Macaca mulatta: one gene and its partners. The protein of the gene in region 1 interacts with the protein of each later gene in a pairwise test. Links are inferred from orthologs where the notes say so. Each region holds a gene or a part of one and is shown in the gene's direction. Other genes may lie near its edges. The genes, in order: PER2, CRY1 and CSNK1D.

Region 1 (4,353 bases):
GCAACCGGGCCTGGATTTGCTTGGCATTTCTGTGTGTCTGTGTTAGGGAGAGGGGGCGGGGAGTGTGTTGAGATGTCAATGTCAGAGGAACAGGAGGAGGGGCCACCTGACAGTGTGTGAACAGCCTGCAGGCCTCCCTGGGCTTCTGCGGGAAGGGCTGCCCTGATGAACTTGGTATTTGCCCTGGTTTGCATCAGAAGTTGCACACACACCTTGTCAAGTAGAAGGGAAAGAGTTAGCACACTCAGGAATTCCTGATGTGGGTTAATAACTTTTCCTTCTGTCCCATCCCTGGTCCCCAGGCGAGTCCAGGTAAAGAAGAACAAGAAGAGTAAAGAGAGATGCTGCGGGTTCCAGCTTCCTGGACAATCTCGCCTTCCCCATGGGAGCCTGCACTTTCAGAGTCTGCTGCATGGGAGCCTGCAAGCTCCTGCCTGTCCTGTAAGTCTCAGGCTTCTACCCAGACCAGGGGAAATTGTACTCTCTCTCCTGACACTTTAAATGGAAGTTTAGAGGCTCATCATGCCCCAAACAATGCTTACTGAAACAGCAAACCCTCAGACAAGGTGATGCACGCTGCCGCACTGGCTCCCAGGACAACCTCCCACCACGGGCTTCTCCGTCTCTACCGCTTGCACCTTCCTAAGGTGTCCCTTTCTCAGGGCCCATCCTACCCGCCCTGGAAGTGCTGCCTTTCTCACGGAGCCTGTGGGGATAGCTCTGGTTAATTTATAGCCCACATCGCCCAATTTAGCATTTGATTAAGTTTCCTTTTTATGAGACAGTCCTTTCTCCCTAGTGATGCGCTTGGGGGCAGAGACAACATCATTTCTTTCTTTTGTACCTCCCCAGAGTAACAGTGACTCTATTTCCTGAACCAAAAATTGTAACACGTGGTAACTGCCGGGACAAGTGTGGACCACAGGCACCTCTGAGGCCCGGGTGGGCGTGCCCCAGCAGCTGCTGCAGGGCGGTGCAGCCACCTTCTCCTAGGCTGCTCTGGGGCCCGGCGACGAATGAGTGAATGAGTAAATGAATGAATGTGTGAATGAAGCATGCTGCGCAGACTTTCCCGCGGCCCTGGCCGCTGGGGGCGCGCCTCTGGCCGGTGGCCGGAGGTGGAGGTTTCCCTGGTCGGGCTTCGGGGCGCCAGGTCGGCCAGGCCGGCCGGAGGTGCACAGGAGCCCCGCGCCCAGCTCCCCCGCCCGCAATGGTACGCGCCACTCCGCGCTCCCGGAGCTGGCGGACTCGAGGGCGTCGTGAATGGAAGGCGCCGACGCCGGAAGTGGATGAGACCACTAGGGAGGACGACGGGGGGCAAGAACGCGCCGCATCTCCATTGAAGAACCGACGAGGTGAACATGGAGTTCCATGTGCGTCTTATGTAAAAAGAGCGACGGGCACCGCTACCAATGGGCGCGCGGCGCTAGTGGGCCCCGCCCCACGTGTATGCAGATGAGACGGTGTCGCGGCCAATGGCGGACGCCGGGGGCGGGCGCGGCGCGCGCGGTCACGTTTTCCACTATGTGACAGCGGCGACTCGGCCGCGGCGGAGGCGGCGGCGCTGAGGGGCTACGTGCAGCTGTGGGCGGTGGTGGCGGCGGCGGCAGCGGGCGCGGGTCCGGGCGGACAGAGCCACGAGTCGGCGGAGGGACCGGCGGACGGGCCGACGCGAACGCGGCCGGGCGGTAAGTGGCGCGGCGCGGCCCCGCTGCGGCTTACGTAACCGCCGCCCGCGCGTTGGCCTCGGGCAGGTCGGGGTCCCGGCGCCGCCGGGAGTTCCCTGGGCCGCTGGACTCCTCTGCTTGAAACGGCGCCGGCGTGGGGGCGTGTGCCGTTGGCCCTGTCTCAGGTGGAGGGCGGCCGAGCTGCGCGCAGGGTGCGCTCGTTTGAATTGCGCTGACACCGCGGGTTGGGGACTCGAACCCCCGTTTCGCAGCTCAGGAGCCTGAGGTCCGAAAGGTGAGGCGGCAGCGTGTGTAGGGCACCGAGTTGCTGAGTGACTGCGCGTGGGCTGCGGTTCCGTGGGCGATTCTCTTTTGGGAACCCTCCCTCCCCTCCCCTGGGGAAGGCCAAGGAAATCAGGGGTCAGCGCAGCCGGCCCTGGGATCTGGAGGTCCCTCGGGGAGCTGACTGCCTCCTCTGAGGCCACAGGGCCAAGTCCTGGGCTGGGGAAGGGCTGTGGAAGGGCGCTGATCTAGGAGCTTTTCCTGGACACCCACGGGTCTCCTGGAATAGGTGATCAGAGGGACAAGGAAGTCCCTGTGCCAAGCCAGGCCTGGGAACCTGAGGGCAGGGAGACCGCCTGATGTTCGCCCCTTTGCCTCCCCTGGACCACCCTGTATTAATACCCTCTCCCCGGACTGGATAGAAAGGAATGGGGGTGTCCACTCTTTGGTGCAGCAGTCGCACCTACCTTCTGGGATGTACTTTGGCTGCCAAGTCCCAGACATAGACCAGGAGGTGGGAGGTGGCCTGCTTCCCCCTTCAGGAAGGCCAGGGTAAGGGATGACGAGTTGGTTGCCAGGGTTTCTGTAACCTACACAGAAGGAACCCGTTTGGAAAGCTGATTCATACAGAACAGAGCCAGAAGGCACCCTGAAATCACCCAGAGTAACCCCTCAGCCTGACAGATGAGCAAACTGAGGCCCAGGCCCAGGCTGTCTGCAGGATCTTCCCATCGCCCTGGGGCAGGATGAGCTTCAGAGGTTCAGTGAAGGCCTCAACTTGGGTGCTGAATCCTGGGTGGGCTGTAATTTGGGAGGAGGGGCCTTAAGTCCGGGAAATGTGTTAAGAACCCCACACCATGGCCAGAGCCCCCCTGGACCCCTCTCACTTTTATATGGCACAGCAGGATCACTAGACTTCTTGGCTTCCAAGGGGAGATGCCAACTTCTACCCCGACCTGGGGCTTCTGGTCCCAGACTGGGTGTGCCTGAGAAGAAAATAGGACTCTACCTGAAGGCTTTATTTGGAAATTGAGTTTTAAAATACAAGGTGAATTGAGTTTTGTGTGCTATATGACTATAATGAAGAAAGGGACTCCGTTGTTTTTTTTAAGTGGAAGCTGTGTGGTGTGCCAGCGCGGGGATGGTACCGTGGGTGTTTGCAGTTATCTGTCACTGTCGCCTTGGTGTGATTCATTGGTATAGAACTAACGCAGCCCTGGCTTTCTGTGGAGACTGGAGTGCCAGGTGGGAAGGGGGAGCCCTGCGTCAGCCAGCTGGCTGCTGCTGGGAGCCTTGGCTCCCAGTCTGGGCCTCAGTTTCATTTGTTCGGAGGGACTCAGATTGGGCAGTCTCAGAGGTCTAATTTAATTCCCAGGTTTTTGATTTTCTGTTACCCTACAGTTGATTTTTCCCAGGTTTCTCGCAGGAGACAGAGGCTTCTGATATGCTCTTGCCTTTGGGCCAGGTAATGTTCCCCTGTGAGCCACATCTGCAGTGCTTACAAGGAACAAGGAAAGATTCCTCTCCTGTGCACTATTTCTCATACACACTGAACTTTCTCAAAAATACTGGTCGTCACACTGCTGTTTTTAAGCCATGATGTAACTTCACCAGGACTCAGCAAACCACGGCTCTGTCAGGTCATTGAACAGCTGGCAGGGCCACTTGGCGTTTAGTCAGAAGAAAGACAGGCTCTGGGTGTGCTTTTACCTTTTGAAAACTACTCTGGCAGAGTGAGCCAGAAACACACAATTCCATAAGCTTGGCAGAGACTGTCCCCACACTTCTGGAAAGCTGACCAACCTTCAGAACCAAGGGAGAATCAGACAGTCTAGAGGGGGCCTCTGATGGGCCCCTCCCCAAGCCCAGGCACTCTCCCCTAGGGACCAGGCCCTCCTTTCAACTCATTATGCTCATCGTGTACACATTTGTAACAAGTTTGTTACCATATTTCCAAGTCTAGAGCACATTAGAAGCAGTAAATGAACAGCAGTGACGGGTGACAGGAGTCAAGGCCACTTGGTTTTCAGAGGCTGGTAGTTCCCAAGACAGAGTGGGCTGCTGTGCTGATCCCTCACCGGCCTCGAAGGGTTCCTCGTGCTCTTCCTGGGGTGACATAGAGGAATCAGAATCTGCTCTTTAAGAAACCAGGTGCAGGAGGAGCAGATGCCTCAGCTTCCCGCAATTCAGAGTAGCTCAGCCGCTGACACTTTTGCCTTTCTTATTGCTGTAAAGTCTTGTAGTTCTAAAAATGTAAGGATTTAAAAGTCTGAATTGAGAGCATTAAAGGTGTCCTGGTGAGGCCAAGACAATGCCTCCCTGGTGCACCTCCTTCCCTCCATATTTGGACGGCTGCGGTCACATTTTCCGCAGTTACCCAACCGTTGCCATGGAGAGCGCGGCT
Region 2 (3,646 bases), on another chromosome or scaffold:
GCTCTCAGCTTTCTGTTGGAAATTTGAAGGTAGTTTATTTCACATGAGTATGTGCTGCACAAGGATGACTGAAACAAAAGAATGCTCACTTTTTTATCCTGTCTTATTTTCTATTAAAACATGTAATTTGTGGCTAGGATAAGATTTTATTTTCCAAGAACGATGTAACTTTTTTAAAAAAAAATCTCCATTCTGAGCGTCCTTTTAAAATGAAAAAGACAATTAGTTAATGTAATTTTCTCTCTGTGTTTTCAGGCTTGGGTGGCAAATTTTGAAAGACCTCGAATGAATGCAAATTCTCTGCTTGCAAGCCCTACTGGACTTAGTCCTTATCTCCGATTTGGTTGTTTGTCATGTCGACTGTTTTACTTCAAACTAACAGATCTCTACAAAAAGGTATTCTCTAAAATTGGAGCTTATTGTTTAATACTTTAAAAAGCATTCTGATAATACTTCTTTGCTTTTTAACCATAGGTAAAGAAGAACAGTTCCCCTCCCCTTTCCCTTTATGGGCAACTATTATGGCGTGAATTTTTCTATACAGCAGCAACAAATAATCCACGCTTTGATAAAATGGAAGGAAACCCTATCTGTGTTCAGATTCCTTGGGATAAAAATCCTGAGGCTTTAGCCAAATGGGCAGAAGGCCGGACAGGCTTTCCATGGATTGATGCCATCATGACGCAGCTTCGTCAGGAGGGTTGGATTCATCATCTAGCCAGGCATGCAGTTGCTTGCTTCCTGACACGAGGGGACCTGTGGATTAGTTGGGAAGAAGGAATGAAGGTAAGTGTTCTAACTGATGTAGCATGCCTTATTTTGAAGGAATCCTTACCTTAATAAAACAAATCCTAGAAGTTGTCTGTTATATAGATTAATTTATAATGTAGTTTTTCAGTGGATAAAACATTTAATTCCCCAAATATGGGCACACTTTCAGAGCAAAAGGTGGTATAATCCGACAAGCAAAAAGGTGAAAACTAGTTAAATTGATTAACCTAAAGTCATTTTAATGGTTAAACCAGTCTAGCCACTAAGAGAACTGTAAAATTTAACACTGAATTTGTTGATAGATATAGGTGATATTTCTGTCACCAAAAGAATTCACTCAAGAGTTCCTAGAGATAGTGAATTCATATTATAAATTTTAAAACAGGGCCGGGCACAGTGGCTCACGCCTGTAATCCCAGCACTTTGGGAGGCCAAGGCAGGTGGATCGTGAGGTCAGGAGATCGAGGCCATCCTGGCTAACACGGTGAAACCCCATCTCTACTAAAAATACAAAAAAAATTAGCTGGGCGTGGTGGCAGGTGCCTGTAGTCTCAGCTACTCGGGAGGCTGAGGCAGGAGAATGGCATGAACCCGAGAGGTGGAGCTTGCAGTGGGCCGAGATCGCGCCACTGTACTCCAGCATGGGCGACAGAGCAAGACTCAGTCTCCAAAAAATAAAATAAAATAAATTTTAAAATATAAATCATTTCACCTCACTTCAACTTCACAAATTTTTAGTAATACTTCTATTATGTGAAAAGAAGCATACCACATTTTGTGACATCATCTTGTGGGTTACATGTAATAAGACTTACATACCTTGTTTTTTTTTTTTTTTGAGATGGAGTCTCGCTCTGTAGCCCGGGCCGGGGTGCAATGGTATGATCTCGGCTCACTGCAACCTATGCCTCCCAGGTTCAAGCAATTCTGCTGCCTCAACCTCCCAAGTAGCTGGGATTACAGGTGCCCACCACTGTGCCCAGCTAATTTTGTATTTTTAGTAGAGACAGGGTTTTGCCACATTGCCCGGGCTTGTCTTGAACTCCTGACCTCAACCCCCTGCCTCAGCCTTCCAAAGTGCTGGGATTACAGGCATGAGCCACCGTGCCCGGCCACTGTATACATTTTTTATGTTTCTGGCAATATCATACATTTGCCCCATCCAAGGACCATTTCTGAGCCTATGTGTGTGTGTGTTTTTTTTTAATCTCTTACATTTCCTAGTACACAGTTGTATATACAAAGACAATATATAACATATTTAATATATATAAAAATCATTTATTTTAATTATATTTTCTTTCTGATCAAGGAATTCAAAATTAAGCTATGCAGTGCTAGTATATACTTTTACATGAATTTATATTTGAGTATGCTTCCTTTATTTAGGCTAGTATACTAAGTTTTTGTTGGTGTTTTATGTAATAATATTTTTGCTTTCTTGAAAGTGGTTTACTGCTTTTCCTGTGTCTACTAATAATATCCTTTTAAATCAGTGATTTGAATTTTTTTTTTACTTCCATTCTCCCTGTAACACTGCAGAGGTTGGAAAAGTAAATTCTCTACAGAAGCATACTATATTACCACTATGTTTCTTTCCCTGGAAGAGCTCATTATAGAACAGAATATAGACAGGGAAGCTAACTTTGGAATGTTTAATTTTACAAGTCTGTGCTAGATTTTCTTTGCCTTGACTTTGGATCTACTGTGACCTTGAAAATGCTTGCTTTGCGAATTATATGTGTGCAAACTAATTGGTTACTGTTACTTCTGAAGGTATTTGAAGAATTACTGCTTGATGCAGATTGGAGCATAAATGCTGGAAGCTGGATGTGGCTGTCTTGTAGTTCCTTTTTTCAGCAGTTTTTTCACTGCTATTGCCCTGTTGGTTTTGGTAGGAGAACGGATCCCAATGGAGACTATATCAGGTAAATCAAGGGTGATTACTGCTCAATTTGGAATAGTTAATTGAAGAAGAGCTTTTCATGGTTAATCAATGCTTAAAGTATTCCCCACTCATGATAGGCAGCAGAGATGAGTAGGGCAAACAGATCATTTAAATGGTATTGATTTGATTTTGGTCTCTCATAGCTAGTAGTTGTTATAGTTTGCTTACAGTGCATTTTATTAGTAATCTTTCTTTTTTCTCCTAAAGGCGTTATTTGCCTGTCCTAAGAGGCTTCCCTGCAAAATATATCTATGATCCCTGGAATGCACCAGAAGGTATCCAAAAGGTAGCCAAATGTTTGATAGGAATTAATTATCCTAAACCAATGGTGAACCATGCTGAGGCAAGCCGTTTGAATATTGAAAGGATGAAACAGATCTATCAGCAGCTTTCACGATATAGAGGACTAGGTATGTTAATAACTGTCTTTGTTTCTTTGGCAGCTGTTTATATACCTGTCTTTGAATTTTATCTTGATCATAATTTAAAAGAAAATTCTTTTGTCCTTTAGGTCTTCTAGCATCAGTACCTTCTAATCCTAATGGGAATGGAGGCTTCATGGGATATTCTACAGAAAATATCCCAGGTTGTAGCAGCAGTGGAAGTAAGTGAAAAGGAAATTTCTGCACTTAGTAACATGACGAGGTTATTAAACAAATATATTTGTTATTGATCCTTACTAACATTTTATAAAAATCTATCTTTGAAATTAACTTAATAGATTCTTTGTATGCATGCATACATGTGCACTCAGACACATCTCTTCACTCCACTGATGACATTTTAGAGATGGAAAACATCATTCCGTATAATAGATGTTGGGTCAAGTTAAAGCTTTTACAAACTGAGGAGAGCAATTTTAAGGATAAAATGAAACTCAAATGTCATTTTCAGAATGCTTATTATTTTTTACTCTTTAGGTGTACA
Region 3 (3,646 bases), on another chromosome or scaffold:
GCTTGAACCCGGGAGGCGGAGGTTGCCGTGAGCCGAGATGGCGCCCCTGCACTCCAGCCTGGGTGACAGTGAGACCTCGCCTCAAAACAATAAAATAATGAAACAACTTTTTTAATGAAGTAAATTTCCCTAATGGTACCAAAACTTGCTGTAAGACTAAACTAAAAATCTGTCTTGCCATGGAAGGACATAAAAGGTTTATCCAGGCCGTTCATAAGCTGTATGTGTGTAGAGCCATGTGTATAGTTAAGGACCCAGTGCTGTGAAAACATACCAAAAAAACATGTTCTTGTGGATATAAGAAAAAAAATAGGACTGAAGGGCATATTTTGGGGGTGGTATTTTGAGAAACCCATCTGTTGCTGCAGCATTCGAATTTGACTCTGGCGTGAGGCTGCGGTGTGCGCTCCTGCGTGTTCCTGCACGCGTCTTTACCAGCACGTGTTTCCATCTCTCAGCATCTTCTTGTGGTCGTTGACTTTTCATACGTAAAGTCTTGGGTGAAGTGTCCAGGTCTTTCACCCATTTTTTTCTAAAGTAGATTTTTTTTGTTTTGTTTTCAGACAGGGTTTTGCTCTGTGGCACAGGCTGGAGTGCAGTGGTGCCATCGCGGCTCACTGCAGCCTTCATTTCCTGGGCTCAAGTGATCCTCCTGCCTCAGCCTCCCAAGTAGATGGGACCACAGAAGCGTGCCACCACACCCAGCTAATTTCCAAAGTTTTTTTGTAGAGACATAAGGGTCTCCCTGTGTTATTCAGGCTGGTCTCAAACTTGAGCTCAAGCAGTCCTCTCGCTCCAGCCTCCCAAAGTGCTAGGATTACAGGCATGAGCCACTGCACCTGGCCCGTGTGTCTTTTTAGTGTTGATTATGCCTTCAGCACTGATACTGTGCAGCCATCTGTAAATTCTTCCTGTTAGATTTATTGTGTCTGTATTCTCACTTCCTGATTTGTATATTTCAAGCTTGGGTTACTGTGTAAATCCCCAAAAAGTTTTCATTGCTTTTATTTTTCTCTTATCCAGTCAAATACTTCTACCAACATTGTAGTAATTGAACATATTTTCTTCTCTCACCTAACCCATGGTAGCTGCTTTCTCTCCTGCAGCTCCTCCCCTCTCCGGTGTGACGTCTCTGGCGGGCTCTGCTGGTCCTTTTCTGCCTGAGCTCTTTCTCTCCCACATCATGACTGTTTCCTGTGTCTGCCGCCCCCCTGCCCTAGAAGATGAGAGTCAGGGAGGTGGGGCTTCGATCCCCTCCTTGTCCCCTTTGCAGCTCCTGCCCGCTTGGCCCTCGTCCAACCTCTGCCTCAGGCCACTTGCTAACAGATGGGGCCTAATCTCGAAGATGGGTCCCTGAGGACCGGCGTTGCCGGGGTCTTCTGCCTCCATCACCCCTTCCCCGTTCAGGGTTGTCACCAGGACCCCATGGTGTGCACAGCGCAGACGTAGTGTGGAGCTGAGGCAGGGCCTGGACTGAAACGCTGTCTGATTTCCTCGCCTAGTGGGCATCCCCACCATCAGATGGTGCGGGGCCGAGGGGGACTACAACGTCATGGTGATGGAGCTGCTGGGGCCGAGCCTGGAGGACCTCTTCAACTTCTGCTCCAGGAAATTCAGCCTCAAAACCGTCCTGCTGCTTGCCGACCAAATGGTAAGGACTGTTTCCTGACACTTGGCACACACTTGCCGTCTGATGGAATCAGCCGCTCACTTGTGCTGTTCTCGCCATTATTACGGCTGTTAATTCACAGAGGAAATGGAAATGTGCTAAGCCTTAGCCTTGAGGCTCTGGTGGCTCAGCTGAGTGGCTTGGAGGCCACCCTCTCGGTACCAGCATAGCACGTTTCCATTCAGCGGGCCCCTCCGTCTCAGGAACATGCGTGTGATTCCTAAGCACCTCCGTGCAGCTTCTCTGCCAATCCTGGTGTGTAGCCTATGCGGAGAACAGTGCTGGGAGAGACCGATGTCTAGTGGCGGGTTGTCCCCTCTCTGTCGCCTCACCTCTCTATTTTGTGGGAGCTGAAGGCAAAGCACCTAGGCCCGTGGAGGGTGGAGGGTTGCTGAAGGCACCTGGGGGAACAATTTGGTCAGTTCGGCGTCCCCCTCACTAATGGTTAAACTACCCTGCCGTGGCTGAGGGGCAGGAACAGCACAGCCACTGGCACAGCGTCCTGCAGTTGAGCTGTCCCTCCCTGAGACTGCCCTGGGCTGCCATCTCGTGCCTTGCTCTGCTCGCAGATCAGTCGCATCGAATACATTCATTCAAAGAACTTCATCCACCGGGATGTGAAGCCAGACAACTTCCTTATGGGCCTGGGGAAGAAGGGCAACTTGGTGTACATCATCGACTTCGGGCTGGCCAAGAAGTACCGGGACGCACGCACCCACCAGCACATCCCCTATCGCGAGAACAAGAACCTCACAGGGACGGCGCGGTACGCCTCCATCAACACGCACCTTGGAATTGGTGAGCCCCTGGGCATGGGTCACTGACCTAGGGTGCCTTTGGGCATGTCCATGCCTCAGCCCAGGGAGAGGCCAGCCTCTTGGGGAGCTGGGGGTGCGAGTGTGTCGTCAGGGGAGCTGGGGGTGCGAGTGTGTCCTCAGACCTCTGCAGCAGACAGTCTGGCTCATGACTGCCAGGTGTATGGGGGCAGGCGGATGCTGGGATGTTTCTGAGTCACCTGTGATGTGTTCGGGAATTTCCTTAGTATGCATAAGGGGCAGCTCTGGGTGAGAGTGATCCCGGCGTGCGTGTCTGAAGCTCGTCTCCACTGGAAGTGCCAGCCAGGTCTTTTGCTTTGACGTGAGCACGCCAGTGCCGTTCTTCACGCCTTTCCCTTTTGTTTTCAGAGCAATCCCGAAGAGATGACTTGGAGTCTCTGGGCTACGTGCTAATGTACTTCAACCTGGGCTCTCTCCCCTGGCAGGGGCTGAAGGCCGCCACCAAGAGACAGAAATATGAAAGGATTAGCGAGAAGAAAATGTCCACCCCCATTGAAGTGTTGTGTAAAGGCTACCCTTGTAAGTCTTTGGAGGCTTCTTCTCAGTGGAGCTGCTCATGGGGGTTGCACGTGCGTCGGGCCCGCCTCAGGTGTGCTGAGACGGCTCAGCCTGGGTTTTGTCAGAAGAGTTGCTCCCCTTCCAAAGGGGTGGTGGCAGGAACGAGGGGTGCTTTTGTGTATGGTGGTAATAGCCTGCCCTCCTGTTCATCTTGACTTGCCAAGTGCCCATCAGTGTGGAGAGCACTTGGAGGCCCTGCAGAGATGGCAGGTGAGGCAGGCCTGAGCCTTGGGGTCCTAAGTGGCTGGAAAGGGATGGATGGGCAGTGGTGGGGCCTCTCTCTCTTTGCATTTGTAGGACTGCTCCAGGATACATACCTTAGATGAAACGAAATTGTGCTTTATGATTTGAATTGTTTTAAAAGCTTTCTTAAGGCCTAGAGTCTTAGAAACCTGCCAGGTGTTTTGTATCTGTCCTTCTCCCCTTGAGTGTGCAGCAGCAGGAGGTAGACGGCGACGCTGGCAGACACGTCGAGTCGCAGTTGGGTTTCACGAGTTAGCTTTGAGTTTCTTGTTTTGCAGCCGAGTTTGCCACATACCTGAATTTCTGCCGTTCCTTGCGTTTTGACGACAAGCCTGACTAC

The links.
Region 2: the proteins of PER2 (region 1) and CRY1 interact in a two-hybrid assay, tested with the Homo sapiens proteins (5 studies listed by BioGRID, with this or other methods). The link is inferred for Macaca mulatta from reciprocal best matches to the Homo sapiens genes PER2 and CRY1.
Region 3: the proteins of PER2 (region 1) and CSNK1D interact in binary tests that used the Homo sapiens proteins (3 or more experiments, as listed by UniProt). The link is inferred for Macaca mulatta from reciprocal best matches to the Homo sapiens genes PER2 and CSNK1D.

The regions. Positions count from the first base shown.
Region 1 is NC_133417.1:143,533,672-143,538,024, reverse strand, and holds the start of PER2 (period circadian protein homolog 2), read left to right. Parts: upstream 1-1,524; 5' UTR 1,525-1,962; intron 1,963-4,353. UniProt on the Homo sapiens protein: Transcriptional repressor which forms a core component of the circadian clock.
Region 2 is NC_133416.1:114,199,152-114,202,797, reverse strand, and holds part of CRY1 (cryptochrome-1), read left to right. Parts: intron 1-255; coding exon 256-396; intron 397-474; coding exon 475-786; intron 787-2,547; coding exon 2,548-2,699; intron 2,700-2,926; coding exon 2,927-3,129; intron 3,130-3,230; coding exon 3,231-3,323; intron 3,324-3,646.
Region 3 is NC_133421.1:91,964,824-91,968,469, reverse strand, and holds part of CSNK1D (casein kinase I), read left to right. Parts: intron 1-1,502; coding exon 1,503-1,651; intron 1,652-2,238; coding exon 2,239-2,467; intron 2,468-2,853; coding exon 2,854-3,024; intron 3,025-3,584; coding exon 3,585-3,646. UniProt on the Homo sapiens protein: Essential serine/threonine-protein kinase that regulates diverse cellular growth and survival processes including Wnt signaling, DNA repair and circadian rhythms. It can phosphorylate a large number of proteins.